Danio rerio: one gene and its partners. The protein of the gene in region 4 purifies or fractionates together with the protein of the main gene of each other region. This does not show direct contact. Links are inferred from orthologs where the notes say so. Each region holds a gene or a part of one and is shown on either strand. Other genes may lie near its edges. The genes, in order: numa1, camk2d2, xpc and wdr76.

The links.
Region 1: the proteins of wdr76 (region 4) and numa1 purify together in Homo sapiens (affinity purification with mass spectrometry; 3 studies listed by BioGRID and IntAct, with this or other methods). This does not show direct contact. The link is inferred for Danio rerio from reciprocal best matches to the Homo sapiens genes WDR76 and NUMA1.
Region 2: the proteins of wdr76 (region 4) and camk2d2 purify together in Homo sapiens (affinity purification with mass spectrometry; 3 studies listed by BioGRID and IntAct, counting the BioPlex papers as one, with this or other methods). This does not show direct contact. The link is inferred for Danio rerio from reciprocal best matches to the Homo sapiens genes WDR76 and CAMK2D.
Region 3: the proteins of wdr76 (region 4) and xpc purify together in Homo sapiens (affinity purification with mass spectrometry; 3 studies listed by BioGRID and IntAct, with this or other methods). This does not show direct contact. The link is inferred for Danio rerio from reciprocal best matches to the Homo sapiens genes WDR76 and XPC.

Annotation. Positions count from the first base shown.
Region 1 is NC_133190.1:46,761,081-46,768,723, reverse strand, and holds part of numa1 (nuclear mitotic apparatus protein 1), read left to right. Parts: intron 1-273; coding exon 274-414; intron 415-854; coding exon 855-968; intron 969-1,834; coding exon 1,835-6,274; intron 6,275-6,850; coding exon 6,851-7,060; intron 7,061-7,643. UniProt on the Homo sapiens protein: Microtubule (MT)-binding protein that plays a role in the formation and maintenance of the spindle poles and the alignement and the segregation of chromosomes during mitotic cell division.
Region 2 is NC_133176.1:15,615,648-15,623,758, forward strand, and holds the start of camk2d2 (calcium/calmodulin-dependent protein kinase type II delta 2 chain), read right to left. Parts: upstream 5,417-8,111; 5' UTR 5,154-5,416; coding exon 5,092-5,153; intron 1,593-5,091; coding exon 1,498-1,592; intron 545-1,497; exon of another isoform or gene 345-544; intron 310-344; exon of another isoform or gene 1-309. UniProt on the Homo sapiens protein: Calcium/calmodulin-dependent protein kinase involved in the regulation of Ca(2+) homeostatis and excitation-contraction coupling (ECC) in heart by targeting ion channels, transporters and accessory proteins involved in Ca(2+) influx into the myocyte, Ca(2+) release from the sarcoplasmic reticulum (SR), SR Ca(2+) uptake and Na(+) and K(+) channel transport.
Region 3 is NC_133183.1:27,920,826-27,928,198, forward strand, and holds part of xpc (DNA repair protein complementing XP-C cells), read left to right. Parts: intron 1-2,088; coding exon 2,089-2,249; intron 2,250-3,451; coding exon 3,452-3,533; intron 3,534-3,641; coding exon 3,642-3,773; intron 3,774-3,868; coding exon 3,869-4,038; intron 4,039-7,312; coding exon 7,313-7,373. UniProt on the Homo sapiens protein: Involved in global genome nucleotide excision repair (GG-NER) by acting as damage sensing and DNA-binding factor component of the XPC complex. Has only a low DNA repair activity by itself which is stimulated by RAD23B and RAD23A.
Region 4 is NC_133182.1:30,166,695-30,174,800, forward strand, and holds the start of wdr76 (WD repeat-containing protein 76), read left to right. Parts: upstream 1-3,238; 5' UTR 3,239-3,292; coding exon 3,293-3,343; intron 3,344-3,862; coding exon 3,863-4,024; intron 4,025-4,127; coding exon 4,128-4,196; intron 4,197-4,274; coding exon 4,275-4,370; intron 4,371-5,275; coding exon 5,276-5,328; intron 5,329-5,475; coding exon 5,476-5,587; intron 5,588-5,675; coding exon 5,676-5,774; intron 5,775-5,874; coding exon 5,875-5,915; intron 5,916-6,034; coding exon 6,035-6,185; intron 6,186-6,305; coding exon 6,306-6,461; intron 6,462-7,463; coding exon 7,464-7,576; intron 7,577-8,106. UniProt on the Homo sapiens protein: Specifically binds 5-hydroxymethylcytosine (5hmC), suggesting that it acts as a specific reader of 5hmC.

The DNA of each region.
Region 1 (7,643 bases), on a different chromosome or scaffold from region 4:
TAATAATGTAATTTTTTGTTTATTTGATTATTTGCTTAATTATTTAGTAATAATAAATTACAATTATCATTATTGTTACATTTATTTATTTGTATTAATTTATGTATATATTTATTATTTATTTTATTTGACTAGATATTATTTCATTGTTTATGTAATTTTTACATTTTTTATTAATAATTAAATGTATTTATTTTATTATTTACTTAATTATTTAATAATAATAATTATTAATTTTGGAGTCTAAAATATTAGTGTCTTTGTCCCCATCAGCTTCGTAATGTTTTCTCTCAGCTGGCGAGAGCAGAGCAGGAAGTTGCCAAACTCACAGTGGTTCATGAATCTGCACAGACGGAGTGGAAAAACAGGAAAGAGTTGCTGGAGAAGGAGCTGAATGAGGCCGTCACACACAAGGTAGACTATTTCAGTTATATTCAGCAGTACTTGGTGTATTTATTGTGTTAATCATGTTCTGTTTGCTTTTTTTTATACTTTATTTTTATTTATCTTTTTTTAAGAAAAAAAAAACAAGGGAAATAATACAAATAGTAGATTTAAAAAAATAAAATAAAATAAATAATACAATAAAACACCTGAACTTAAATGAGCAGTTGACAGGTCACATATTTCCTTACAGGTCACATGAACAAATACATATATAAATTAGATTACTCTGTGTAAAGCTATAATTACAATCCATTTCTCCCAATCTTGCAGATATTTGTCCATTTGTAGTTTTAAAGAAAAATTCGTCCTCTCCATATTTTGCACATTAGATATATGTTCTGTTTGCTTTGAGTGAAATAAGCACCAGAGTGTTTGATCAGTTTTGCTGGTGCTGTTCTCTTGTGCAGGAGTGTCTGAGTGAGCAGGTGCTGATACTGCAGGGGAAGATTTCTGTTCTGGAGGATGAACTGAAGAAAGCTCAGTCTCAGGAGAGAGGAGAGGTGCTGGGGCCCATCATGGAGGTGAGATGCTTTGATGTGATCACTTTCACACTTTTTTGTTAATAAAGAAATCCTACATCGTGTAGTTTATTATTTTAGGAAATCTGTATTATTTTTAGTCAAATTTACTATTACTAAAATTGCATCTTAGTTAGAAAAATTCATCAAAACTCATCTAGCAAAAGCAAGCCAGCCCTTGTTTAAGAGGCCTTCTGATTTTTCTGATCTCTTGAAAGTTATTGTTCATTTTAGTTTGTTGTTATCAAAAATACTCAATTTGAGTTAACTTGTGCATAACTTAAGTTCACTTTTATTTGTGAATTAGATTGCTTGAAATGTCTTCTTCCAACATTAATGCACATGTTGTTTTTTAAATTTTATTTTTGTTAACAGTATACATTTTTAACTATGATTTTTGTCCACATTCATTATTCTCATCCTTATCAGAGGCTAATTTAAAAGCTTAAAAACATTTTACATTTGTTTATTGATAAAATTAACACTGAAACTATCAAGTCTTAATTTCACACTATGTGTTAAAGGGATAATTCACCCCAAAATGTAAATGTACTCGCTGTTTACTCTCCCTAAAGTGGTTCCAAACCTTTGGGTTTTTTTCTGTTCAACACAAAAGAAGTTATTTTTAAGGAGGCTGAAATTCTATAACCATTGAAATTCATATTATGAAAATCAAATACTATGCAAGCCAGTAATTACAGGTTTCCAGATTTCTTCCATATAACTTCTGTCTCCAAACTCAGCCTTGATTTGGAGCAAGTATAGGGTGAGAAAATTAGTGAATTTTTGGGTGAACTATCCATGTAAGAAATGTAATTACAGTTCATATTGAGCTGAACTGACCAGTTTTTATCTCTTGATTTTCTCAGTGGGAAAAGCTCAAACAAGAGTTGGCTGATCTCACTCTTCAACTCGCTCAGCTTCAGGAATCCATTTCCCACCTCGAGAAGAAAAAGGCAGAAGTTGAGGCCTTGTTGGCTGAGGAGAGATGCTCTTTTGAAAAAGAAACCGCAAGACTCCAGTTGGTGGTTTTTGATCTGGAGAAATCCATCAACAGCATCCGTCTGGAGAGAGAAACACTTCAGGAGGCCTTAAAGACGCAGAAAGAGATGCTCTCTGCGCAGATATCAGCACTGGAGAGGGACGTTTCCCGTCTGCAACAGGTTGAAGTGCAGCTGACAGCAGAGATCAAAATATCTGCAGATCTCCGCCAACAGAGAGAGGAGCTGGAAGGAAAGGTAGCATCTTTAGATAGGATGGTTCATTCTCTGCATGCTGAGATCCAGGGGCTGGAAGTGGAGAGAGCTTCTCAACAGGATGCAATTAATTCCCTCATTAGCGATTTACAAATCGCTAGGGCTACTGTTCAGGAATATGAGAAGAAGCTGGAAGAGCATCAAAAAGTGGTAGCAGAAAACAATTCCCTGAAAAATGAAGCATGCACAATGCAGCAGGAGCTGAATAATCATCTAAAGGCAATCGGAGACCTTCAGGCGGAAGTAAATGAACTCAGATTTGAGAAAACTGAGGAAGAGAACAAGGTTAGTGAGGCTTTGGTTAAAATCGAAAGCCTCCAGACTGAGATTCTGCATCTGTGTGAAAAGATTTCTCTTAAAGATGAAGAAATCAGAAACCTGACGAAAGAGTATGAGTCTGTAGACAACGAGCTGAAGCTTGTGAAGGAGCAAAATGTTGAAATAAATGCAATGATCAAATCTAATCGCAAGGAGCATGAGGAAACTGTTGAAAAACTTCAGCAGGAGCTTCATTGCGCTGCTTCTGCCGCATCAGAAAAACAAGAGCAAATGCTGGTTTTATCAGCAGAGGTAACATCTCTGAAAGAGCAAATCTGCAGATATAGTGAAAATGAGGCACAGAAACAACAGGAATTGTCTATTTTAGAAGCACAACACAATGTGCTGAAGGAAAACCTGACTTCTCTACAGAACCAGTTGGCTGAGGCGACAACTTCAGCTTCACAGAAGGAATCAGAGTTTATTTTGCTTCAACAGGAGCTTTCCCATCAAGAAACACTAAGAGAACAAACTCAGGAGCTTGAGAAGATTAAACGTGAGGAGCTTGAGGGGATCGTGAGTGAACTTCAGGCCAAAATTATTGAGGTTTCCTCTATTGCCTCAGAAAGGGAAGCTTGTGTGAGCTCCCTTCAATATGAGATGAAAGATCAGCTATCGAAAGCCAAACAGTGTGAAGCTGATCTACGCAATGAGATGAAGGAAAAGGTTGGAAATTTGCAGGAACTTCTAGACGCTGCTAACCATGGAATTGCTGAAAAAGAGCATCACTTAGAGTCGTTGAATCAAAGTCTGAAGCAGATGGAGCTTCTGTACTGTCAAAAGGAGGAAGAAATCATTGCAAGTCAACAAGCAAAGCAGCAACTGGAGAATAATATTGCTGAGCAGAAACAACAACTAGATGAGATTCAGCAAAATCGAGAAATACTAAGGAATGAAAGAGACCATCTGTCTACTCGAGTATCATCTCTCCAAGAGGAAATTCATCGTTCCCAACAGGATTTTTCTGATTTACAGACTGACCACAATGTTTTGAAGGAAAAACTGGTTAATCTTCAGGATCAAGTAGAGCAGGCGATGATTACTGCTTCCCAGAAGGAATCTGAACTCCTCTTGCTTCAACAGGAGCTTTCCCATCAAGAGACCCTGAGAGAAAAAGCTTTGGAGCTTGAGGCCATCAAGCGAGAAGAGTTTGAGAAAAAAGTGAAGGAACTGCAGGACAGAATTCTAGAGGTGTCAACTCTTGCCTCTCAAAGGGAAGCCCAGGTAATTTCTCTTGAAAATGAGATGAGGGATCAACAGTTGAGTGCCAACCAATCTAAAGATAATCTCTGCAGGGAGTGGCAGGAGAAGCTTGGCATCTTGAAAGGAGAATTAGATGTAGTCAGTCGAGATGCTGCAGACAAAGACCATCAACTGGAATCTTTGGATCAAAAGCTTAAAGAGATGGAAATGGTTGTCCTTCAAAAAGAGAAAGATGTAATGGAGACACATCAGGCAAAGGAGGACCTGGAGAAGAGAATTGCTGAGCTTGAGGAGTGCAAGCAGAAATTAGAAATTATGAGGAATGAAAGAGATCATCTTTCAACTGAAGTAGCATCTCTAAAAGAGGAGATTCATAGCTACCAGGATACTCAAATGCAGAAACAACAAACAATTTCTGTTTTGGAAGTTGAAAACAATGCTTTAAAGGAAAACATGGCTGCCCTTGAGAAACAATTAGCAGAGGAGATAACTACAGCTTCACAGAAAAATTCAGAGCTTCAAAACAAGCTTCATCAACAAGAGAGCCTTCACGAAAAGGCTCAAGAGCTTGAGATTGCCAGGCATGAGGAATTTGAGAGAAGAGTGAGAGAACTTCAAGCTAAAGTCCAAGAGGTGTCCACTCTTGCTTCTGAGAAGGAGGCTGTTGCTTATTCTCTTCAGGAAGAATTGACGGGTCATTTGAAGGCTAAAGTGTCCGAAGATGATCTCCGTAGAGTCCTGGAGGAAAAAGTGGAAACCTTACAGAGAGAAATAGAAACTGCTAGTTGTGATGCCACAAGCAAAGACGGTCTTTTGCAGACTTTGGATCAGAAGCTGAGGCAGATGGAGATGCTTTGCCAACAAAAGGAGGATGCAGTTTTTGAGATCCAGAACTCAAAAGAAGACTTGCAGAAAGAGATGAATGAACTTGTTTCTAAGAATCAAGAACTGGAGGGCTGCCTGCAACATTTGGAAATGGTAAAAAAGGAAAAAGACCTCCTGTCAAATGAAGTAACTTCTCTGAAAGAGCAAATAAATGATCAGAGTTTGAGGGCCAAACAGTCTGAAGCTGATCTTTGCAAAGTCTTTGAGGAAAAGATTGAAACCCTTCAAGGACAACTGGAATCTAGTAGTCGTGACGTCTCGGAAAAAGAGAAACATCTACAAACTTTGCATCAAAAGGTTTCACAGATGGATCTGTTGTGCCAGCAAAAGGAAAATGCAGTTCTTGAGATGCAGAACGCAAAGGAAGACTTGCAGAAGAAGATTGATGAGCTTGTTTCTGAGAAACAACAACTGGAGGGCTGCCTGCAGAATTTGGAAATGGTAAAAAGCGAAAGAGACCTCTTGTCAACTGAAGTAACTTCTATAAAAGATCAACTAAATGATCAGGATTTGAAAGCCAAACAGTCCGAAGATGATCTCCGCAAAGTGTTGGAAGAAAAGATTAAAAACCTCCAGGGACAACTTGAAACTGCTAGTCGTGATGTCTCCGAAAAAGACCAGCTTCTGCAGACTTTGGATCAAAAGGTTACACAGATGGATCAGTTGTATAAGAAAAAGGAGAAATATGCTCTTGATTTGCTTCAGGTAAAGGAGAATTTGGAGAAGAGGATTGGTGAGATTATTGTTGAGAAACAGCAATTGGAAGGATGCCAGCAGAATTTGGAAACAGTGAGCAAGGCCAAAGACAACCTTTTAAATGAACTAACCTCTCTTAAAGTTGAAATCCAAAGTTACCAGGAAAAAGAAGTGCAGATGAAACATGAGCTTTCTGTTTTAGAGAATGAACACAACATTTTACAGGAGAACCTGGATACTCTTCAGAAGCAAGTGGTGGAGTTGACCGTTTCAGCTTCTCAGAAAGAGTCTGAGCTTCAAAATGAGGTTTGCAAACAAGAGAAACTTCAAGAAAAGGCTCAGAAACTTGAGAAGGATGCAGGTGATCTTCAGGCTAAAATTCTAGAGATTTCCACTCTTGCTTCTGAGAGAGAGGCACAAATAAGTTCTCTTAAAGATGAAATAAACAGTCAGCATTTGAAAGCTAAACAGTCTGAAGATGATCTCCTCAGAGTGTTTGAGGAGAAAATTGAAAACCTTCAAGGACAGCTTGAAATTGCTCGTCTTGATGTCTCGGACAAAGACCAGCTTCTGCAAACTTTAAATCAGAAACTGAAACAAATGGAAGAACTATGCAAGCAAAAGGAGACATGTGTCCTTGAGATGCATCAGACAAAGGAGGATCTGGAGAAGAAAATTGTTGAGCTTCAAGCTGACAAAAGTCAACAGAATCAGCAGAATTTGGAGATGTTGAGGCAAGAAAAGGACCATCTGAAATCTCTAAACCAGACTATCCGAAGAGAGTGTGAAGCGTCCCGGAAGATTCGAGCTGAGCTGGAGTTGAACGTTGAGGAACAAACTGCTTCCATCCTTGCACTTAAAAAGGCTTCCCAACAGTGGGAGGAGCAGAATCAGGAGCTCCTGGAGCAGCTGAAGGCAAAGACAGAAGCTGTAGAGCACTACAAAGCACAGGTATGGGTTGCATGCTTTTTCTAAAATTCCCATTACATAACCATAATGTTTAGTTGTTTTTCCACTATTGGGTCGAACAGTTGGTCAGGTACGGTTTCAGTGTTTAGTTGTTTTTCCATGTGAGCCTGGTAGAACTGTCTTTTTAAGAACCATTCAGACCCAATCGTAGAAAAGTGTTGTTCGTTTTTCCAAGTCTTAGGCCCAATCCCAATTTTACCCCTTACTCCTACCCCTCGTTTTGCGCATTCACGTGAAGGGGTAGGGGTGTCCCAATTCTCTTTAGCTTGAAGGCGTAGGGCTAAGGGGGAGGGGTGATTCAGCAATTGTTTTTTTTAAAGATAAATGCCAAAAAATAACACAACTGAAATAACTACAGCAGTTGAGATCGTCTGATCTCATTTGAAGGAAGAGATCGCGATGGCATATGACGACGTGTGCTGTAGTGATGTCCCATTTCTTAGGGGTAAATTTTGAAGCCCTTCCCATTCACACTCTGTTTTAAGGGCCAAGGGAATGGGGTAGGGGTACAAAAATAGAATTGGGATTGGGCCTTAATGTATCATGGTTATGTCTCAGGTGGAGAAGGCCATGAATCACTACAATGGTAAAAAGCAGCTGCTGCTGGAGGCTCAAGAGCTGAACAAAACTCTTGAGCAGTCATTGGAGGTCAGCAAGAGAGAAGCTAAAGCTCTGGAAACTGAACTAACCCTGGCTCGCATGGAGCTCAACCAAGCCAATGATAAAGAGAAGAGCCTTGCTGCTAAAGTGAAGACTTTGGAGGCCCAAGTAAGTTTATGACGTTGTTGGATTTTTAAGCATCCTAATATTGTGTTGGAGTCTCATACAACAGGTTTAAACACATCTAAAGTCAGAAAACAGTACTTATTTCCAGAATTTGCATCTAATATAATTATTTTGTAGTGATTTCAATAAGGTTTGTTTGAAAAAGGTTTGGCTCTTGCCTGTAAACCTCTCCCTTCCACAAACAACACTGCTCTGATTGGTCAGCTGGCGAAGTCTGTTTTGATTGGTCTTTCCAAATCTGTTTTATGTGGGAAAGAAATGCCCATTTCAGAGTGTTTGTATGTTGTGGGTAGGCAGAGATTTTGCAAAAATGTTTCCTGTTTAGTGTTGATGTAGATCAAAAACAGGCAAAATACTTGGAAATATAAGCTTCTTTAGGCCCAACTCTTTTTTTTTTATTTAGGCACAATATCTTTATGGACCTGGTATATATCTATATTAATATCTTTATCTTTATAAGGGTAGCTACATAAAAACTGCAAATATTTTTTTTAAACATCCATAAGACCTGCTGTAGTGTTTCATGAGTGTGAAGAGATACAAAAAAAAAAGTTTTGGTTTTATT
Region 2 (8,111 bases), on a different chromosome or scaffold from region 4:
CGCGACTCACTGGCATTGTCATTTTGGGAGTCGCAGCCTGAAAAGTTTGGGAACCCCTGCCTTAGTTAATGGTATTTTTAAATGGTAAAATACTGGAAATTAGTCCTTAGTGTTATTTTTAAAGGTAAATTGCTAGAGACTGTTTCTTAGTGGGATTATGAAAGGTAAAATACAAGAGATTATTCCTTAGTTAATAGTTTTAAAGATAAAATACTAGTGATTATTATTTAGTTACTGGTATTTTTTAAAGGTAAAATACTTGACATTCCTTATTGTAAATTTTTAAAGGTACAAAGGTAAAAAAGGTACCTTAATTTTAAAGGTACCTTCATTTGTAAAGGTACAAATAATTATTGTAAATTATTTTAAAGGTACAATACTAGAATACCTCAAATTAGCAATGCGCCAACACCTTTTTCCTAGACCGGAACACCCATGAGTCCACAAAGTGGCGCAAATGAATTTGCTATTTAAACAATGTGAAGGAAAATGAAAAATTAAGGTTGCGCTGGTCTAAAAATAGCAACACGTCGCGGGTGTATGATAGGGTCTATAGTGTTTTAATACTAAATGTTTGCACCTTGACAATTCGAATTAGACTTAATTAAATCTAAAAAAATATGGCTCACTTGGTTATTTCAATATCATTAAATAAATAAATGATTTAAAATCATAGCTAATAAATAATAGCATTTTTCTGGTAAAATTTTATAAAGATACATCGTTATCAAGCCTGATCTCATGAGAAAACGTAAGTCTTTTACGTTTTGTCAGTGTAGTGATTAATTCCTATGAATTTGTACAGTTCAGTCGTACGAAATTGTAAGATTTTAAAAAAGAGGCGTGGCACCCAACCCCACCCCTAATCCCGTCCGTCATTGGGTGATGAGCAAGTTGTACTAAATTGTATGAATAAGATCGTACAAATTTATACACATTAGCCACTTAATCAAAAAGTTGCGAATTGCTGTGAGATTGCATTGCGTTATCTCAATACTCAACAACAATATCGCATATTTGTCCAGTATTGTACAGCCCCAGTTTACAATGAATATTACTAATATATTTTAAAAAGAGATTTCGTATATCCCCTTGTGGAAATGGAAAATACACTGGTATGTAAAACAAATAAGTATTAGTAGCATGAAAACAGACACTAGCGAGTTATACTGATGAAATAATGGCTTGACATACACAGGCACTCAAAGCCCTTAATCCAGACTCATTCATCCACAGTTTTTCAGACTGATATGTGGATGTATGTGATTCTCGAACATATAATCCCTTCAGCTTCTTCACAGCTCCACTTAGACACAAGCAAACGTTACGTCAGAACACACGCACGGAGCTCCAGATGAGACCCAGATGCAAAGTCTATCCCGGTTTAACCGGATGTGCAGCAGAACGTTGCCATGTTCGGCTTCACTAGATGCTCCACTGCCTGTATTCAAACCTGCCCCGCACCTGACAGGAGCCCACTAAATAAAAATCACCTACCCCTGGCGGACAGCTTCTTTGTGTTGATGATTTTGGCCGCATACTCTTGGCCGGATGATATCTTCACGCATCGCCTCACGACAGAGAACGCGCCCCTGAAGAAGAGGGAAAAAAGAGAAGACAGTGAGGGAAAAAATGGGCACGAGGCCCTGATGCCGAACAGATAGAGCATATGGCATGGAGAGCAGAATCTGTGCCATGACGGAGGCACAGCCTGAGCACTTCCAAGGTTACACAACTACCATTTTCCACGGTTGTTTGTCCGTGTGTGTTTGATGAGCGTGTGTGGGTGTTTTAAAATTGCTTAGCATATTCGCTGAACACATGCACACACCAAATCTGTCGATGTGCTTGTAAGAAATGAGGGGGTTAATTATGTATCACCTTAAATGTGCTTTTGTTCTTCTGATATGTAGAATGAGGCAATGCGTATATTTATTTATTTTTTTGTAAATATGTAGAATTGCTTCAAATTAATTGTCATTAATGTGTACAGACATTTATGATTAAATAAATCATAGCGTACACTTACAGTATTTTGATGATACATGAATTTACATTGTACTTATGTTTAATACTACCTACAGATGTAAATACCTGTAATTTCTGTAAATATGACTTTGATTACATGGTTTACCCAAACCCTAGCTCTTAAACAACTCTTAAACGTCCTCATACCACTAAACCTGTTATTAGCCTTGGCTGTATTTAACGTCAAGAGCAACAAAAAACACTTGCAATCAAGCATGAACACAAATACATGTGTATGTGTACATATAAATCTTTTCAGATAAGTACATAGTAATTCAATTTAAATATTAAGTAATCCACCTAATATAAAGAGTAAAAGAAAAAACGTGACCTTTTACTATAAATACTTACTGTAAAAACAAAGACAAACCAGCAGACCGAGGAACAGCTTTTCCCCCAGAGCTGTCTCCCTTTTGAACTCTGCCTCCACTGACTGTTTTGCCCTCTCATACACCCCCACACTCTCCTCATAACTTATACTCCCCATAATCACTGCACTATTTAATATTTGCACATTTAAAAAATATCTCCTTACACTACATTGCACTGATTCATTAAATTAATTTTGAATTGTAAATTACCCACAGTACATACATTTGTAATTATGTTCATATTTATCTGATTATTAATAGCAACCTGTACCTATCTATTGTTTATTTCTGTTCATAGCTAATACAACCTGTTTATAAAGCACATTCATCTGTAAATATCACCATATAACTGCACTTTATAGCTTCTATATCCTATATTTGCGCTCCTACATTGCACTCCTGCTTAGACCTAAACTGCATTGTATGTTGCCTTGTACTTGTACATGTGTAATGACAATAAAGTTAAATCTAATCTAATCTAATCTAAATATGTACACTCTCGGAAATAAAGGTACGCAAGCTGTCACTGGGCTTGTACCTTTTCAAAAGGTAAACATTTGTACTTAAAGGGTACATATTGGTACCTCAAAAGTATATATTAGTACCTAAAGAATTTAAGAGGAACTCTTTTGTACTATTTAGAAACTAATATGTACCCCAGGGATATTAATATGGACCTTTTAGGTACAAATAGCTTTTGATAAGGTACCACCCCAGTAACAGCTCACTTTGCTTTATTTCTAAGAGTGTATAAACAGGCTTGATTTTAATTAATTTGTTCATTTTATAAATCGTCACCTTAGAATTATAAGGTTCTATTGACTTATCCTTATTAAATGACAACTTGTTTACATTATGGGCTGTTTTTTACATTACGGGAAGTTGTTTACATTTTAAGACTTTATTTAAAAAACAAATGTTACACACATACTGTTTGCTATATGGAATTCAAAATCTTTGAAGCTCAATATCTCAAAATCGTTGAGAACGCAGATAAAACCTTATAATTCCTAGGTGATGAAATGTCGGAGAATGTTTCTTACAAATCCTAAATAACAGATTGACATTTAAGCAATTTTAACCAGAAGATAATAACTAATCAGAATAATAATGTCTATTTTTAATCACAACTTGTTGAAAATCAGGCTTATTCCACCAAATATCTAACGTCTAACTCTATTAAAGTAAAAACATGGTATTGTTTCAAAATCAATAAGAACATAATCTAAATGAAAGCATTTAACTCTAAATTTGGGGGTGGGAGGGTGCCATATAGTTGGGGCAACAGATGAAAATTAGCCCTTGTGGCTAACTCTGGCTCGATTAATAAGCATTGGCCCTTGTTAAATAAATACATTTCATTTCAAATGAAACAAAAGCAGATAAATTTAGAGAACTAAGAGCTAAAGCGCAGACCTCTTGTTTAGTGGATGTGATGATCCTAATGGAATGTGCTCGAGCAGCATACTGTTGCTATAGTAACCTCCTCTTCAGGTGAAAGTGACATAATAATGTCTATCTAGTGTACTCTGACCAGTATCTTAATTTAGTGCTTTAGTGAAATGTTGGTTGGAAACATTGCTACAACTTATACTTGAACGTTTTTGAATATCATTTTTTTAATTTTTTTTTAAATCGGTTTGATTAAATTGGTAGACTAATATTTGTCTTTGGGTTTAAACATTTTACTTTAAAAATCAAATATTTGTTTACTTAAGATTTTGAAGAAAATTGATCAGACGTTTATGGAGCCAACTGTAGTTAAATTTATTCTAAGCAAATCTAGAGACTCTGAAAATTATCTTCTGGTCAAATATTTATGTATATTCAATAACTGCATTCATGCATAACTCATGCATGACCCTCTGCCTGTGGTTTCGGGGATTTCGCTCAATATCAGCCTATAATTGACAAAAAATGCATATGCAACAGTGGAAGCCAACGCGTGCTGCCCATTCTTCATACATGATGCCACCGCGCAGATGGCGCAGAGACGCTTCGACAACATCATATTTTACGCAACGTTATTCCAGATTTCAATTTAAGGTCACAGCGGGCTTAAAACGGACTCGATCCGGGTCATTTTAGATCTGAACGCATAAGCACATCGGAATAAATGTATTACTGCATGCTCAAAGGGTATCTCCTCAAACGCGTACAGATCGGGACCACCGATGTTGGCCTCTGCTGCGCTCCCTCCCCCCTCCCCGGTCAAACGCAGCGCAAGGAATCCCCAACGCGATAATTAACGACACGGGAATGCGTGTCTGCACTGTTGTCGCATTGCCATGAGTATTTCTGTCTCCGGGGGGGAAAAATCCCGAGCCCCACCCCCCTTAAAATGTACATTATACCAGCTGTTCGGGTTTCTGACGTGATGATCACAATGGCCGCGTCACAGAACCTAGAACGGTGCCCACATACGCTGCATTTTTGGGCATCTCGTTTGGAATTGCACCGTTCCAAACGCGCCCGAGATTGTCTGTGAACGCCGTCTGGTTTGGCTGCTAGCAGTGCAACTCAAGTGTCCAAGCGCTCACGGCAAGGTTATTATTAAAAGCGTTCGCTGCAATTCCAGCGGAGCTGTCAAATGCAAGACGCATCATTTCATTGTGCGTTCGGAAACCTCAAGCGTGCGTATTATATAACAAAACGCACAGGAATGCAATGCAGTAGAAAACCCATCACTCACTTTCCGAGCTCCTCAAAAAGCTGATATTCGTCCGTGAATCTGGTGCAGATGGTCAGAGCCATTGTGATGGGGAATCGGCAGCGCGAGGAAGAGGATGATGATGCGGGGAAGCGCAGTCAGTCTCCTCACTCGTCCCTCCTGTAGACCAAAAGGAGAGCACTTGAAGGATTTTTTCTTAGCTTCTGCTTTGGTTCCTGGTCTCTCGAAGTGAGATGCGCCGATCAGAGTCTGATGATCAGATATGTAAACCAAGGGGTCGATGATCACCAACGGGAGGAAGAAGCGCGTTCACATCCGACGGTTCCATGGGTTCATCATTATGCGCGTTGACGTTGCCATCTCTCTTGAACGTGTTTGCATACAGCAGCACCTCGCCCCCTTCTCCCCTCCCTTCCAAAACCATGCCCCGCCCTCTCAAATATCATGCACTTGTAGAGTTTTCGTATTCATACCTCATAAATCGCCATGGCAATAATATTATTAATAAAGTCAAATGAATAATTGATCACAAGGAAGCATTTTAAAATGAACCGCTCCGAAAGGTAAATCGTGATAAAACTGTCACTTTAACATACAAATTTTGGACAATCAAAAAATGAAGAAAATTTACTTTTGTGGATAATTTAAAAATAAAAGTCATGTATGCTACTTTCATTCAGTTTATTTAGAATTTGTAAATTTAATTTAATGTTATTATCAATAATTTTTGTATTATTATTTGTATTAATTATTATTATTATTGGTATTATTAAGTATTCTTATTATTATTGGTACTATTTTTAATATTATTATTATTATTAGTAGTAGTAGTAGTAGTATTTGTATTAATATTATAAATTGTCATTATAATTGTTATTATTACTATTCTTCTTCTTATTATTATTATTGATATTATTATAATTAATTTTGTTATTGTTGTTTTTAATATTATTATTATTAATATTATTATTATTATCATTATTATTATTATTGGTACTATTATTATTATTATTATTATTATAAATTATTTTTATTAGTAGTAGTAGTAGTATTAATTAATTCATTTTCTTGTCGGCTTAGTCCCTTTATTAATTCGGGGTCGCCACAGCGGAATGATCCGCCAACTTATCCAGCACGTTTTTACACAGCGGATGCCCTTCCAGCCGCAAATTATTATTATTATTATTATTATTATTATTATTATTATTATTATTGGTAATATTATTATTATTAATCATTATTATTATCATTATTGGGCAGCACAGTGGCGCAGTGGGTAGCACAATCACCTCACAGCAAGAAGGTAGCTGGTTCAAACCCAAGCTGGGTCAGTTGGCGTTTTTGTGTAGTTTGCATGTTCTCCCCATGTTCTCCCCATGTTTCCTTTGGGTGCTCCGGATTCCCCCACAAGTCCAAAGACATGTGGTACAGGTGAATTGGATAACGTAAATTGTCCATACTGTATGTGTATGAATGTGTGTGTATGGCTGTTTCCCAGTGGTGGGTTGCAGCTGGAAGGGCATCCACTGCATAAAACATATGCAGGATAAGTTGGCGGTTCATTCCGCTGTGGGAACCCCAGATTAATAAAGTGACTAAGCTGAAAAATAAAGAAAGAAATGAATTGTTATTTTTATTGGTATTATTATTATTATTATTATTATTATTATCAATACTACTACTACTAATACTACTACTAATAATAATAATAATAGGCTACATCTGTCATCTTAGTTCATCCAGAAGAGGTTGCTTGAACACATTTGTGTCTAATTATTATATACTACACTAGACGCATTGTGTTAATTTTGTATTATTTTCAGAAAAATAACAATTTACATTTTAAATAATATCAGTTTTCTTCAGACACAGCTGGTGCTAAACTAAAATCATGTAATTCAAGATACCTTAATTTGCTAATAATCCTAATGAACGCAGATTATCTGGTTAATCAGACCTATCAACATTTAGGTGAGCCTATTTACATAAACTCCAAAATACTTCCAAAAGTATCATGATACTAAAACTGTTCATACTCAAAATACATACTAATAACATATGTGAGAAACAAGGTTTAAAATACACAGTAATAATAAAAATTATTTCATTCATTTTGGTTTTGGCTTAGTCCCTTTATTAATCAGGGGTCGCCACAGCAGAATGAGCTAACTTATCCAGCATATGTATTACGCAGCGGATGCCCTATCAGCCGTAATCCATCACTGTGAAACACCTATACACTCTTACATTTACATACATACACCACAGCCAATTTAGCTTACCCACTTTACCTGTACCGCATGTCTTGGGACTTGTGGGGGAAACCGGAGCACCCAGAGGAAACCCACACAAACACGGGGAGAACATGCAAACTCCACACAAACTCCACTCTGACCCAAAACCAGCGACCTTCTTTCTTGCTGTGAGGCGAAAGTGCTACCCTGAGCCACCGTGCTGCCCCAGTTATAAAAATATTAAATCTTACAATTGTTAGATCTTGTGTCACTTATATTTTTTTTACAATATGACAATCAAACAGAATTGATGATATACCTAATTAAGAAAAAATAACCTGTTGCAGTCATTAAATTAAAGGGACAAATCAAATAAACTAAGTAATTAATGAATAAATCAATCTAAATTAGTGGTCTATTTAGAAAATTTAGTAAAGAATTGAATCTTTAAAAAAATGTGTGTCTGTCCTGCAAAGTTTATAGCTCCAACTTGCCTCAACACACCAGTCCGGAAGTTACCAAGCCAATATCTTTATAGCTGTTAGGTGTGTTTAATTAGGATTGGAGCTAAAAAAAAATTGCTGCTCAATTTCCCCCCAGGAGCGAGTTTAGACATCCCTGGTTTAAAGACAAGAATCTATAACCTCAATACCGATATGATGCCCGAGCGCAGAACTGTTACGACGCATCATCACATCTCCAGCTGGCATCTCTATTCTCTACGCATGCCTAGTGAGGAAATGAAATCCATGGTGCACTACTACATGCTAAACACAAGAGTGTGCTGCTGTACAGGCCATATTGTTT
Region 3 (7,373 bases), on a different chromosome or scaffold from region 4:
CATTACACACCTAGCATTTATTACACAGAAGCACAATTCACTGACAAGCTATTTAAAGTAAAAGATTTAATTAGTGTAATTCTGAAATCAAAGATAATAAGTCTGCAATATGACAGCAGTTCTCATTGATCTATGACTCTGTGTTGCTGCTACATCTGAAAGTACATGAAAATACCACATTTAAAAACATGGGATTACTCAAACTCGCTTCATAACATCTAAAATAAATCCTTCTAAAGAGTTTCAAAGTCATGTCAATCAGCTGGTTTGTCTAATAAGCTGACATACCAGTGAGCCGGTGATGAATCACGGCTTTAAAACCCTCCAGTGTCCCTGTATCTGTGGTTACACGCAGTAAACAGCGATGAGTTGGGTGAACCAATGGCCTTCACGGCCAACCACAGTAATTTCTGTTGAGCACATAAATACAACGGCAAATCAACGGTGTTTAAGAACGTGCTCAACAGCGCTTAAGTGTTCGCAGGAAATGGACGTTTTTTGAAATTTCAGTACTGATTGGTATCGTATTCCACTATTGTGACAACCCTACATTAGGGTTATATTTATTAGGGCAAAATATGCATGTGATTTACCATGAACATGGTGAACAGTGTAAAACATGTTGAACAGGCTTTCGATTGATTAAATGATAAGTTATTTTCTCACAAAAGCTGATTATTGTATGTAGCGATGCCTCATCCATTGACTTCCATTAAAACAAAACAGCCTCTGGTCTCTTTTCTCACGTACTAGCGTTAACATGAGCCGCTACAGTTCACCTACTCTACTAATGATTTCCTACTTATCCATTAACTTTAGTTAAATCCTCTGATTTTCTGGATCTCTTCTTTGCAGCATATTTGCAGTTTCTGTGCGAGAGCACTCTCTGGGCTTTAGAGAAGATTTACAACTGATCACAGGGCCAAGCTTCCCTGACAAGATGTGCATGAGAATCACAGCTTGTGCTAAATCGTGAATTCAAGTTCATTTCTTTTTATCATGCAGTCCTATGAAAAATATACTGATAACATTTTTTTTTAATAAACAAACAAGTGCAGTTGGCCACTTCCAGAGATTTCTAATTAGTGTAAGTGCTGTTATGAAATGCGGCTAGGGTTGTCAAATATGCTTGTATATGAGAGATCTGCTGACTTCTGAAAGACGTGGCTTTCAAGTGATCCACTGTCTAGTAATATTTGTTCATGCTTGGTGAAAAGCAGTGAAAATTGGTGAAGCGATGACCTTCAGAGCTAATCATGTTTATATTTGTAAAGCAAGTGAACACTGGCCAATCAGCAGTGTGTAGGGACGTTTCAACAGCATTCAAATGTTAGTGAAAAATGAGTGTTTTTAAAATTCCTGTATTAACTGGTAACAAATTCGATACTTTTGACAAACCTATCTTCAACAGCCACAAAAGACCACGTAGTCTCTAGCTACTGACTTAACATGATCTCATTATGGAATGAAAGTACACCAAAACAAAAACACAAAGAGGATGTCCTAAAAAATAATAGTTTTTATTCACATCATTTTTTTAATTCACATGCTTTCCTGGTCACTCATAAACTGCGTAACATCTGTTTATCCATTCAATAATAATTGTGTGTCACAATACATGCTCCTGTGAAAGTAATGTAGAGTGTGACCAAATGAGTGGGAAGAGAAATCTGAACACAGGTGGTCACAATGAGCGTTTGAAGACTATAATACCAGCTGGAAACAGACGGTACTGCATTTAGAACGTTCAAATTTGCATTATAGTACCAGATGGAAACAGCGCCTTACACTTTCATTCAGAAATTTGGACAAGTAAGATACAACCCTCACTTATTCAGTACTAAGGAAATAAATGACAGAAAGGGCATTTATTGTAAATATATATATATATATATATATATATATATATATATATATATATATATATATACATATATATATATATATATATACATATATTTAAAATAAATGCTGTTCTTTTGTACATTCAAAAAAAATCAAGAAGTCTTACTGACCCTAAATGTTTGATAGGTAAACACAGACATAGGATGTAAACCAACTAGACTCAGGTTTGTTTCTCCTTCATAGATGCAGGCAAAGTTACTGGACAAGCCATTGCCAACATCCGTCTCAGAATACAAAAACCATCCGCTGTATGTACTGAAGAGGCACCTGCTGAAGTACGAGGCTCTTTATCCTGCTACAGCTGCTGTCCTGGGCTACTGCAGAGGAGAGCCTGTTTATTCACGGTAATATCTTATATATAATAAATAGATATAATATATATGTGAATGCAGGGATCACAGTCTTATAATGTACAGCATGAAGGATGGATGAACATTCATTTGTTAATCTGCCCTGGAAAACTTTATTAAGTTATTTTCATGCTATAAGCAATAACTAGTAAATGGTTGACTCCACACTGAATTCTGTTTTGTCAAAATAAATGAAAACAAAAACAGCATTTTAAATACTATAACTAATGAATTTAGACAGCAACGCTAATAATGGATGTATAAAAATATATTTTTTAGATTTAATATTTTTTAAAGAATAACTGATAAGGTAACCTTAACAAACTATGAAAAAGACATTATTTATAAAGGTTTTTTAAAGGGATCCAAAAATGAAAATGTAATCTCCTTCAAGTGGTTTCAAACCTTCATGAGTTTCTTTATTCTATGTATATATTTGAAAGAAAGCTGAAAACCTGTAACCATTGACTTCCATAGATGGACAACCAAATAGTATGGAAGTCAATAGTTCCAGGTTTCCAACCTTTTTTAAAATCTTACTTTGTGTTCGACCGAAGAAAGTAAGTCACAAAGGTTTTAAACAAGTAAAGGGTGAGTAAATGATGACAGGATTTTAATTTTGGTGTGAACTATTACTTTGATATTAGTTAAACAGAGTTAATTTAGTATTTATTTAGATCATGTTTATTACTATTTTAGTTATTTTTTTATTTTAGTGAAAATAGTTTTTAGTCATTTTAATGTCTTTTTTGTTAGATTTAATTTATTTTATTTTATTGCTAGTGGTAGATTAAGTACTTCATTTAACCTTTCTGGTGAAAATGTGCTACAATTGCCTCACAGCAAAAAGGTCGCTGACTCGACCCTGGCTTGGTCAGTTCAGTTGGCATTTCTGTGTGGAGTGTGCATGTTCTCCCCGTGTTTGTGTGGGTTTCTTCCGGGTGCTCTGGTTTCCCCCACAGTCCAAAGACATTCACTATAGGTGAATTGAATAAGCTAAATTGTTCGTAGTGTATGAGTGTGAATGCAAGAGTGTGTAGGTGTATGGGCATCCGCTGTGTAAAACACATGCTGGATAAGTTGGCAGTTCTTTCCGCTGCGGTAAGCCGTGATTCATTTAAGGACTAAGCCAAAAAGAAAATGAATGAATGAATAAATATGGTCCATGTTTGTTTATAATCTCGATGTATTTTCAGAGACTGTGTGCACACACTCCATTCTAGAGACACCTGGCTGAAGGAAGCAAGAACAGTTCGACTCGGAGAAGAGCCATACAAGGTCTCATCTGATCATAATTGAACATGCTTTATTAATATATTTTACCTTATAAATAGAATAAATTACAAAAAATATTTTCAATCCTGCTCATGAAATACTCTCTCTCAGATGGTGCTTGGTTTTTCCAACCGTTCCCGTAAAGCCAGGATGATGTCGGAGCAGAAAAATGTCAAGGATCTGGCTCTTTTTGGAACGTGGCAAACTGAAGAGTATCAACCTCCGATTGCTGTAGATGGCAAAGTGAGTTTTTGAAACAAGCTTTAAATATAGATTTAATTATCTGTTTTTGTTTTCTTTTTGGCTAAAGTTCTGATCTGCATTTTTATGTGTTGCAGGTACCACGCAATGAGTTCGGGAACGTGTACATGTTTAAGTCGTGCATGTTGCCCATAGGATGTGTTCACGTGCATCTGCCAAACCTGCACAGAGTGGCTCGGAAACTGAACATAGACTGCGCTTTAGCAGTGACCGGTTTTGATTACCATTGTGGATTTGCCCATGCAGTGTAAGTTTGCGTGTAAAGTTAAAGTTTTGTTTCATCCAGTCAAAACTGCAACAAATATGAACCGTTTTCTTGCTATTGACAAGATTTTTCATCATTTACGACACAATGCTTCACTAACATTAACGAGTTACACCTCAATCCATGCGTTTACTTGTAAGTCTTTTATGCATAATGACGAGCAAATATTATGGTATCTTATTTTAAACTTTTTATCTCTAACTTTTTCCTTGCAATTGAGATTCATTATAATTTATCATATATTAAAAGTTAACATCTAAAGCAAAGATGGTATCCATTAAATGATCAAAAATAAAACTGTCCAATGTAACAGAAGAAATGTAGATGTCTATGCAGAAGCATATAACTGCAAGGTCTGAAAGTCTGTGGTGTTGGACTGGATCTCCAATGAGTCTTGATCGTTTATTCTGAATTTGATATAAATTAATGTGATTTCTTTCTAATATTTTTAATTCAAACTGCTTATTTTAATTAATTATCTATTTTATTATTATTATTATTATATTTCTTGTAATTTAAATGACTATAGTGAACACTGATTGAAGTAAAATAACTATAAAAATGTAACTGTGTTTTTTTAAAGTTTTTATAAACATTATACACATAACAATTACTTAGAATATTTACATTCACAAACAAATAAACAAACAGATAGAAAATACCAATTGATGGAAATTATAATAGTAAATAAATAATAGTGACAGCTTAAAAAAAAAGGGGGGGGGGTAGAAAAATAAATAAATACACTCCAATATAAAGACAATAACTACAACAAAGCCCCTGACGGCATTTCAAAGATCAAGCAAGTGTGTTTCAATTAATGACCAGGTCTGTTAGAAAATATCTGATTTCACCTGCAAATCTGCAGTCATTTTCTCAAATACATATATCTGATCCAGCCTCTGTGTCAATTCTTTCAAAGTAGTTTGGCGGGTTTTCGTCCAGTTCACTGTAATTATTTTTCTAGCTGTTATGAATTATAAATGTTGAAAATTGGGAAAATAGGGGAGACTTACTGAACTGATCAGGGGGAAAAGCCATCAAGCAAAAAAACAACTGGGTGCATTGATATGTCGTATTCTAAAACTCCCCTTTATCCTCTTACCATCTCTCCACAAACTCTCCAGCATTGTGATAATTGTATAGAACTATCGAATTTAGCGATCACTGATGGAACTGCGGGGTGTCTGTTGGGTTTTAAAAAGTAATAAAAAGTCTCAAATGCTATTTTGCAAGGTATTACATTTTATATCATTTTTGATTATGCAATCTATGGCTTTATGCTAAAGTTTGCCTGAATTAAATCTGTGAATATCAGGATGCTGTGTAGTTCATGAAATCAGTGAAATCTTGCTAGATTTGACAGCTTGCTGCTTTGTTTACTGCAGTATTAGTAGGCAACACCATAATTTCTGCAGTTCTATAGGCGCAACCTGCTGATTTAGCTAGATTTAATAGATTTTTATTCAGTATGTGAAGAATGTTTTAGTTTTGGGTTAGTTTCTTACATTAATATTTAGTAAATATACTGCCAGTTAAAATCTCGCCAGTGTTTCCAGGTGAAGCCTAAAGTAGTTATAAGGTCTTAAAATGTATGGAAAGAGTCTTAAAAGGTATTAGATTTCACTCTCTGATTGTGTGTGAAAACAACACAATCTCTGTCCCTGTATGTTCTCTGAACTCTGAAAAACCTCATCTTCATCTTTTTCAAGTTGAACTCCTTCCATATTTGACTGCTTATACCCTTATGACAATTCGTGCATATTTGTTTCCACATTTCATTCTCTATTGTAGTGTTTAATTCTAATTCCCAATTTCTTTTGACAATTTGAAAACTCTCCCAATTTCTTAACAGTTGTCAGATTCTAGCATAGGTTATTTACATGCTTAATACACACAGAATGAACAGCAATACACAAATATCTTTACAAATGAAAAAGAATTAAAGGATTAAAGTATTGCAAAAATTATTATTTTCTAGCGTACATAAATATAAAAACCATACTTCCATGTATAACTCAGTTTTTGAACACACTTCTTTATTATCGTTCATTTATTTGTTTGCTGGAAATCAGAACTGAATTTAGAAATAGTTTTGAAACAAATCTTTGTGCTTAAATGAAATTAATTATTTAAAGGCTAATGTATGTCTGTGCGTACAGCACGTTTCCCTATCCGCGAGAGCGAAAGTGAAAGTAAACAATGAGATGGCTTATCTCTCATTCTCGCGCTGCAGATGCTCTGTTTAACTGTTTTCTTGCTAGTGAAATGCTCAGCTTTTCCACTTACAAAGTCGTCATGTAAATAGCAAATGCGCTATGGCGCGGCGCCATATAACTAATTAAGAGAGTAAGCTCAACCGCATTAGACCATGCGCCACAGTGCAAAGTGGATTTTTCCGTCCTTATTTTAGCAAAAGTGGATTCTGACACCCCCCTTTATGCATTTGTGCCCTGCGCTTTGCACGTTGTGCATGGATCGTCAAAATAGAGCCCATGGAGTTTAAGTTATGGAGTTTATGGCTTGACATATTTGAGAAAAATAATGCTTAAAAATGTATTATTGGAAAACTATAAGTCTGGTAAACCTGACAAGATATAGCATTAAAATCTAATGCAAAGTACAGCTTTTGGCCAAATTTGTGGCTTGAATATTTTTTATATGCACAGATTATTAAAATGTAATATTTAACATTTTTTTATTCAATAACGATAAGTCTGATTGGTATGAGGAGATAAAGCTACAATCTTGAATGCTGAAGGCACATTTTGACCAAATTTGGGCCTTGTAGCATGAACGGCCTAGGAGGAGATATGTTTGGTTAAAGGACAGGATAGTATAACAGTATGTTGGCTTTCCCAAGCCAACATAAATATCTAAAGAAATCATTAGATTTCAGTGTAAATCTGTTAAGATAATTGAGGAAACGATATTTATGTCTCCCCATATTAATTACCTTTAACCCATTATTTAAAAAAAACCTTTTTAATAGTATTTTATTAGTATTATCTATTCACTAAAAAAATTACTTCTCTGTCTTTTTTTATGTTTCTTTTTAACAACAAGGTCTAAATGTACGAATTTATTTATTTATTTTTTATTTTTTTATCAAGAGCAGAAGAACCAAGAGTATCAAACAGCATGTGTTGTTCCCCTTCAATTTGCTCTAAAAGTTGTTGCTTTTTTTCTGAATGGAAAATTGCGGGACGTCATTTTAATTTTATGATCTGTAATTGGATTGACCGATGTGTTTCAGAAATGACGGCTATATCGTCTGTGAAGAACACGAAGAAATCCTGAAAGCAGCCTGGGAAAAC
Region 4 (8,106 bases):
AACAGGCCTAAAGATTTTTTTTTGTATAAATTGGAGTAGACCAGGGATGAAAGTGAATATGAATAACTTTGCGTTTATTCATGTTAGATCTCTAAAAATGTGATACACTGTAGCCACATTGTCTACTATAAATATAATGAACTTATTAAATATAACTTGTTCTACACAATCTGTGATTTATGCCAAATACAAAGGTCCTTTGTTGCAGTGTACCAAAGTACTGGGCTAAAGTACTGGGTAACACTATCTGAGAATAGATGTAACAGTCAAGTAAATTGGTGAAATAATATCTACAATTCTCCAATATATCTGGACGCAGCCTTTATGATGCAAGCTGAGATTGCAATGATAGACACAATGCACTCACGATGTCACTGTGAGGTGTAGGGTTAGAGGTGGGGTTAGGTGAGCCTATTAAAAAGCATTGTATCCAGCTCAGAGTGCATTATTAGTTCCATACTGCAGTCAGATCCCTATCCATTATCCAGTTAATGAATTACTTAAAAGAACAAGATGAGTAATTAAATGAATAAATAATTTTCCTTTGGCTTATAGTTGCTGATTCATCATGGGTTGCCACAACAGAATGAACTGCCAACTACTCTGGCATACCCAGCTGATGCTCTTCCTGCTACAAATGGGAAGCACCCATACACTCATGGGAAATTTAGTTCATCTATTTCACCTATAGCACATGTCTTTAGACTGTGGGGGAAACCAGAGCACCTGGAAGAAAATCCATGCAAACACGGGGAGAACATGCAAACTCCACACAGAAACCAGCGACCTTCTTACTGTGAAAGTGTTAACCACCTAGCCACGTCACTTAAAATAATATATTTAAAAAAACAAACTGTGCGTCTGTGCATTTGTGTGTGTGTTTCTTTTGAAACTTTAAACTTGACATTGTAACAATTTGCTGTGTATGTCAGTGAGTGTATGCACTTTTAACATTTGCCATTAAAAAAGGAACATAGAGGAGGAATTAATACATTTCTGAATTAGGGTTTGATTGTTTCAACTGTTACATCTACAGGACCTCCTTTTACAGCATCAATTTGTCTTGGGAATGACAGATGCAAGTCCTGCACGGTGGCCAGAGAGATTTTCTGCCATTCTTCTTGCAGAATATTGGCTAGGTCACAACGTGATGATGCTTTAGGAAAACGTTTCCTGTCTCGCCCCTCTAAAACACCCCAAAATGGCTCAATCACATTTAAATCTGTTGACTGTGCAGGCCATAGGAGATGTTTAACTACACTATCATGTTTATCAAACCACTCTGTCACCAGTCTTGGTGTGTGTATTGGTGCGTTATCATCCTGATGCACGACACCGGCTTCAGGATGCAATGTTTGAACCATTGGGTGATCTTCCCTTGAAAATGACATGCCCATCTAGCACAATTATTGAGCCCAGAGAATGCCTTGATATTGCAGTCCAAACCTTCACGTATCCACACCCATGCTTCACGCTGGGCAAGCAACAGTCTGAGTGCTACACTTCTTTGGGGCTTCTCCACACTGTAACTCTCCCGGATGTGGGAAGACAGTGAAGGTGGCTCTTTTGAACTTTTTTATATGTCATCCATAATGCATTGCAATGTGTTGAGCAAAACTGTGCTAATACTCTAACAAATAAACATTCACACTCTGCTCTTACTGAAAGAATGTGCAATTAATTAAGATTGGCCTCCTCCAACACTAAACTGGCAATGTTTCAGTTTCATTGTTCAACCTCTGTATATAGAAATTCTTTTACTTCAATATTTGAATGAGTGAAATATAAGTGATAAACAATATTTTAGTCTTAAATAGTTTTCATTTATTCATTTTGTTTTTGGCTTAGTCCCTTTACTAATCTGGGGTCGCCACAGCGGAATGAACCCCCAACTTATCCAGCATATGTTTTACGCAGCGGATGCCTTTCCAGTCGCAACCCAACACCGGAACCACCCATACACTCTTACATTCACACACATACACTACAGCCAATTTAGTTTATTCATTTCACCAGTACCGAAGCACCTGAAGAAAACCCACGCGAGCACAGGGAGAACATGCAAACTCCACACGGAAATGCCAACTGACCTAGCCGGGGCTCGAACCAACGATCTTCTTGCTTTGAGGCGATTGTGCTACCCACTGTGCCACTGTGCTGCCCCAATAGTTTTCATCACAAATTAATTAAACAGTATCTACATATATCATTTATTTACGATGTACCTGTTTGGCTTACTATATGTCAGTACTGCATTACAGTAGTGTAGAATGCATTTTCAGTGATTAACTTTCCTTTAGCTTAGTCACTTTATTCATCAGGGCACGCCACAGCGGAATAATCCGCCAACTTATCCAGCATGTGTTTTACGCAGTGGATACCCTTCCAGCCACAACACTGGGAAATACCCATACACACCCATTCACACACATACAGTACCTATTTAGTATATTCAATTCCCCTACAGCGCATGCATTTGGATTGTAGAGGAAACCGGAGCACGCGGAGGAACCCCATGCCATCACAGGGAGAACATGCAGACTCCACACAGAAATGCCAACTGCCCAGCTGTCAGCCGAGGCTCAAACCAGCAACCTTCTTGCTGTGAGGAAACAGTGTTAACCACTGAGCCACTGTGTCACCCTATAGAACGGGTAGTTCAAGCAAAAATGAAAATTTTACATTTAATCATTTATCAGACTTATCCAAAGCGACTTACAGTTGAGGAGACATTCAGCAATTCAACAAGAAGAGGCAGTACACACAATAAGCAGGAATTATGCAAAGGAGCTGTTTGTGCTCAGAGAATTAGGTGCTAGATTTTTTTATCAGTATTTTCTCACCCTCAAGTCAAACCTTTATGATATTCGTTCTTCTCAAAAAAGTGCATTTTAAAGAAACTAAAGAGTAATCATTAACTTCCATAGCAAGAAAAAATAGCCTACTATAGAAGTCAATTGTTAAATGTTTCCAGCGTTCTTCTTTGTGTTCAACAGAAGAAAGAACCTCAACAGGTCTGGAACAAAGTGTGAGTGAATAATGACAGAATTTTCAGCTTTGGGTGAACTATCCCTTTAATTTATCACCCAAACATGAAACGTCACGTTAAAACACCTCCCAGACCATGAATATTGAAGTTGCTCTTCTGAGATTGTCGAATCAACCTTCGCTTTTTGGATGTCATAACAAGCAGGGGGCGGGGGCAGTTACGAAACCGCTCGTACGCGGGAGTTTTCATAACAGCTTGATTTCAAAGGAAGTGTGTGTGTTGAATAACCTCGAGAGCGTAGACATGGATACAGATAAAAGTGATTTAAGTTTAGAGACGATGAAGCTTTTACAGGTGAGCCGAGGTTTGCTCGCTACTAAATGTTTCTCACTTCCACACAATATATCAATAAAACACGCGCTGATACCTTGCAGTGTGTCTTAGGTCTGCATGCATGTATTTATGCTTTAACGTTACTTAAGTGTTCTGTACTGGTAATGTTAGCTTGCATGCTGTTGAATTGACGTTTGATGGACAGAAAGATTCAACTTTTTACCTCATTACACGTACAGGCAAATACAATTGCCAAGTAACGTTACAGCTGAAAGTTGTCGGCGTAATGTATTGAAATGTGTGAGGCACGATAGTAAAGACGTTTGTATTTGAAAGAAAATAAATGTAAACACTGTAACGGGCGATTAAAAGCGATTCGGTGAGTGCTGTAGCGTTAGTGTTTATAAAGAAGTTTTGAAATTACAGAACCTGCTGCAGCAGCTAGTGATTTTAGCGCCCCCTGTCGGACACAGTGCTCAGACACACCGCTGCTGGTTAATAAAGTTATGCGTTCAAAAAAATAATTGTATCTCTTTTTAGGAGAGGACGCCGCCTCAGAATCCTGGAATGGACGGGTCCGTGCTTCGGACGTCTCGGCGAATAAAAGAGAAACAAAATCAAAGGAAGAAACAAAATTTACCCCCAAAATGTCTGACCTTTAGGTCTGAGGTGAAAAGCACCAAAAGAGTCGTCAAAAGAAGGGTAAAGACATCTTTTGTTGACCATTTCAACCTCAGCTGTGTTTTTGAACATATATGTATATTTATTGAGTTATATGTTATATCATTATATATTTCATCCCTAGATAAGTGGCAGTGAAAAAGAAAAAGAAGTTAAGAGGTCAAAAGCAGACCCTGATCATGAATCTCTTCCAGTAAGTACAGTCAGTAGTCTGACTAGTCTGCCAAAATGTAGACTGTCCACCTGAAAGGCTTTTCTTTGTCCTGTCAAGCAGGGTTATCGTGAAGGTTTGTCTGAATATCAGCTGGAGCGATTGGAGAATATCAGAAAGAACCAGGCCTTCCTCAATTCCCTGAATCTGACCGAGGTAACTTAGCGAGGCAGCAGATTTAAAATGTTGCATTCTGTGTCTTTGTTAGTTGTACACGTTTTCATTTTCATTACATTTTCAAGGTATCTGCAGGGTCTTAGAAAGTCTTGAAGTCTCTAACATTTTAAAAACAAAAGTTTAGGCCTTAAAAGTCTTGAATTCACTAAATTATTGTGTTGTAGGTCATTTTATACAGGTCTTAATTTCCCTCTGTCCAAGTAAACCTGGCCAATCTGACCAACACCAATCACCTATAATCCATCTCAAAACTTTTTTTAATAGCAAAAATCAGTCTATGAAGGCAGCTCTCTGCCAAAACGTGCATAGGTTTTTAAAGGATTAGCCATGTGAATAAAGGGTTTTTAATGTTTTTTTTTTTTTTTTTTTTTTACATTTTTTGAGCGCCTTGGACTGATTTTTGCAGTTTATTCTGATGAATCCCTTACCCAAAGAGCACCAACACATTATTTAAGCTACCCCTGAGCACTATTTGTTTGATTTAGTTTTTAAACAAAAAAATATATATTTACGTTTTTTATTGCAAAGGGACACAATTCACAGCAGTTTTTAGACATTTTTTAAAAGCAAATTCTCCAAATTAAACTACCCAATCAGGCAAAGAAAATTAAAGCAACACATACCTTTAGATGATCTTCCATTAATACAAAAACTATTTACAGAAGTAACCAGGTTATAAGAAAAAAATGCTTAGTGTTTAGCCCTGTATAAATCTAACCTTTAAGTCATAATGGTCTTCAAAGGATCCTAAAAAGTCTCAAATTTGATTTGATGAAACCTGCAGAAACCCTGAGATTGACATGCTTGACTTTATACCCACTTATTTATGTTCAGTATTTTGACATGCTTGACTTTATACTAATATGAATGCGACTTGTTTACAGATTTCTGAAGCTCTGAGACCCAAGCAGAAGCCTACACAGAAAGGCCTGAAAAAGTAATTGTTACTTAATGTACATATTGTGACAAATGTACATAATTAATATATTGATGGAACCTTTTTAAACCACTAGTATTATTTTCAATTATATTTAAAGGTATTAAAAACATCTCACTACTAAAGATATTCTATTATTAAATTTAGAGAAAAGACCCAAGTGGAGATGCTTCCAGTTCGAAAGTCACTGCGGTTACAGAATAAGGGTCCTCAGAGTACCACTGCTACAGAATTTACCTTTCCTACAACCTATGAGCTTGTAAGTCATGTGTCATTTAAAAATAAATAAATAAATAAATAAATTTACACTGAAATGAATTGATATGAAATAAAACTGTCCTTACTAGGAAAAAGAAGCTAAACCCCCAGGACCTATTCCACTGGACCCTATCAACTTGGACGAAGATGCCACCTTACCTGATGATTTGTTAGATGTCTGGAATGAAGTCAGTCACATGCTTAAAATATTCTTAAGTTAACCACACATTGATAATATAATAATGACTTAATAATAACCCAAAATCTGTTTGATTTCATCACGCTTAGGTCCCGTTAGAACAAAGCACAGGAACACCAGATTTGAAATCGTGAGTAGAATCTAATAAGGAAAGAGAGTTTGCTTGTGCTTGTAATTTTGCAATTTCTTCTCTCACTTAAGCAATGAATATATTATGTATTGTTAAAGAATTGCTGAACTTGTTTTTAGGTATGAAAGAATGTTGAAGAAGTTATCTATTGATGACAGTCGTGTTGTGAAAGTTGTGAAAGAACGAATCTGTTGTGCAGCTTTTCACCCTTCCTCAAACTTGCTAATGGCTGCAGGAGACAAATATGGCCACCTGGGACTCTGGAGGCCGGTGAGATGAAGAGAAGAGAAATTTGTGAAAGTTGCATATTGGGAATGAATGACTATTTACTAATAACTGTTCTGAATTGCTGTGTTGTGTTTATGATGATGTAAACTGTGTTTTTTTCAGGATGCTGAATGGGGGGATGATGGTGTAGTCTGCTTTGAACCCCACTCCCGTGCAATTACTGCCTTGGCTTTCACATCTCAGCCGTGCAATCTCATCACAGCGAGTTATGATGGCTCTGCACGCAGCATGGACCTGGAGAAGGCTGTGTTTGATGAGGTAAAACAGCTAATGTACCATCAAAAGACACTCAAATATTAATAATCACAGTAAAAAAATAATATTCAGCTATGATGAAGATTAAATGTTACTAACGTTGTTAGAACCTATATATATGCACCTGCATCTAGCAGGCGAAATGGTAGCTCACTGGTTAGCACTGGTTCGAGTGTTGTTGAGTTTGTATGTTGTTCCGGTGTTTGTGTGGGTTTCCTCTAGGTGCTCCGGTTTGCCTCACAGTCCAAAGACATGCGGCACAAGTGAAATAAAAAAACTAAATTGGCCATAGTGTATGAGTGTGTAAATAAAAGTGTATGGGTAGTGGGTTGCAGCTAGCGGGGCATTTGCTGCATAAACAGGGTGTTTGTGGTGTCTTAAAATGTCTTCAATTTCAAAAGCTAAAATTTAGGCCTTAAGTTTTAAATTCACTGAAATATTGTGTTGTAGGTTTTAATCATTTTAAACTGGCCTTGATTTTCCCATGTCTAAGTAAAGCTATCCAGTCTGGCTGACACTCAATCAACTATAAACTTTTCTCAGAACTTTTAACTTTTTATATTTAAGTTTTTTTATTGCAAAGAGACACAATTCACAACAGCTGTTAGACATTTTTACAGCAAATTCTCCAAATTTAATTTTCTAATCAGTTAAAGAAAACTAAAGCAACACATCCCTTTACACGATCTTCCATTAATACAAAAACTATTTACAGAAGTAAACGGGTTTTTAGAAAAAATGCTTTGTGTTTAGCTTTGTTTAGGTCTAAAATGTCATTCATAATGGTCTTAAAAGTGTCTCAAAAAGTCTTAAAATTGATTTGAATAAATCTGCAGAAACCCTGGTAAAACATATGCTGGAATGGTTGGTGGTTCTGAAATGGAGACTAAAAAGAAAAAAATGAATGAATGAATGAATGTATGAATGCGCATCTAGCAAATAGGCATCAAAACCTTAAAGTGTGCAGTCTTTAGTGCTTCACAATATAACATCTCTATTTTGCAGGTGTATCGCTCATCCTCTAGCTTGAAAAGCTTTGACTTTTTGTCAAGTGACTGCTCCACCTTGCTGTTTGGTGAATGGAATGGAGACGTTGCCGTTGTTGACCGTAGAACTGGGTAGGACCAACATATATAACATGTTTATAGATATTTATACACAGAGAATTATTAGCCCTCCTGTGAAAGTTGTATTACTTTTCAAATATTTCCCAATAGAGAGATTTTTTTTAAAAATGTAATAGTTTTAATGACAAATTTTTAACAGGTAATAGGGTATATGCAGAATAACCTGGGTCTAGTGCTTCCGGTGAACTGTATGCAGAAAAGTTGCGTGTTTGAGGTCTGTTTTCTTTAAAAATCAACCATCACTGCCTGATTGATATACAATATAAAGTGGGTCTCAGATTGTACAAGAAACGCTGCTTTAAATGAAATTTTCCCACGCCATAATATGGACATTTATTTTACTCCAGTGTTTTTGGTGTTTCTGTGCTCGCTAAACGGCTTTTCATATCGTTTTACACTTGAACAACTAAATGAATGCCGAAGTCTATTTCACTGATTGTATTTTAATTACATTACAACATCGATGATGTAAAAGGAACCGTATAAAATTGAAAAAAGTCCCATTAACTGTTCACCGGAAG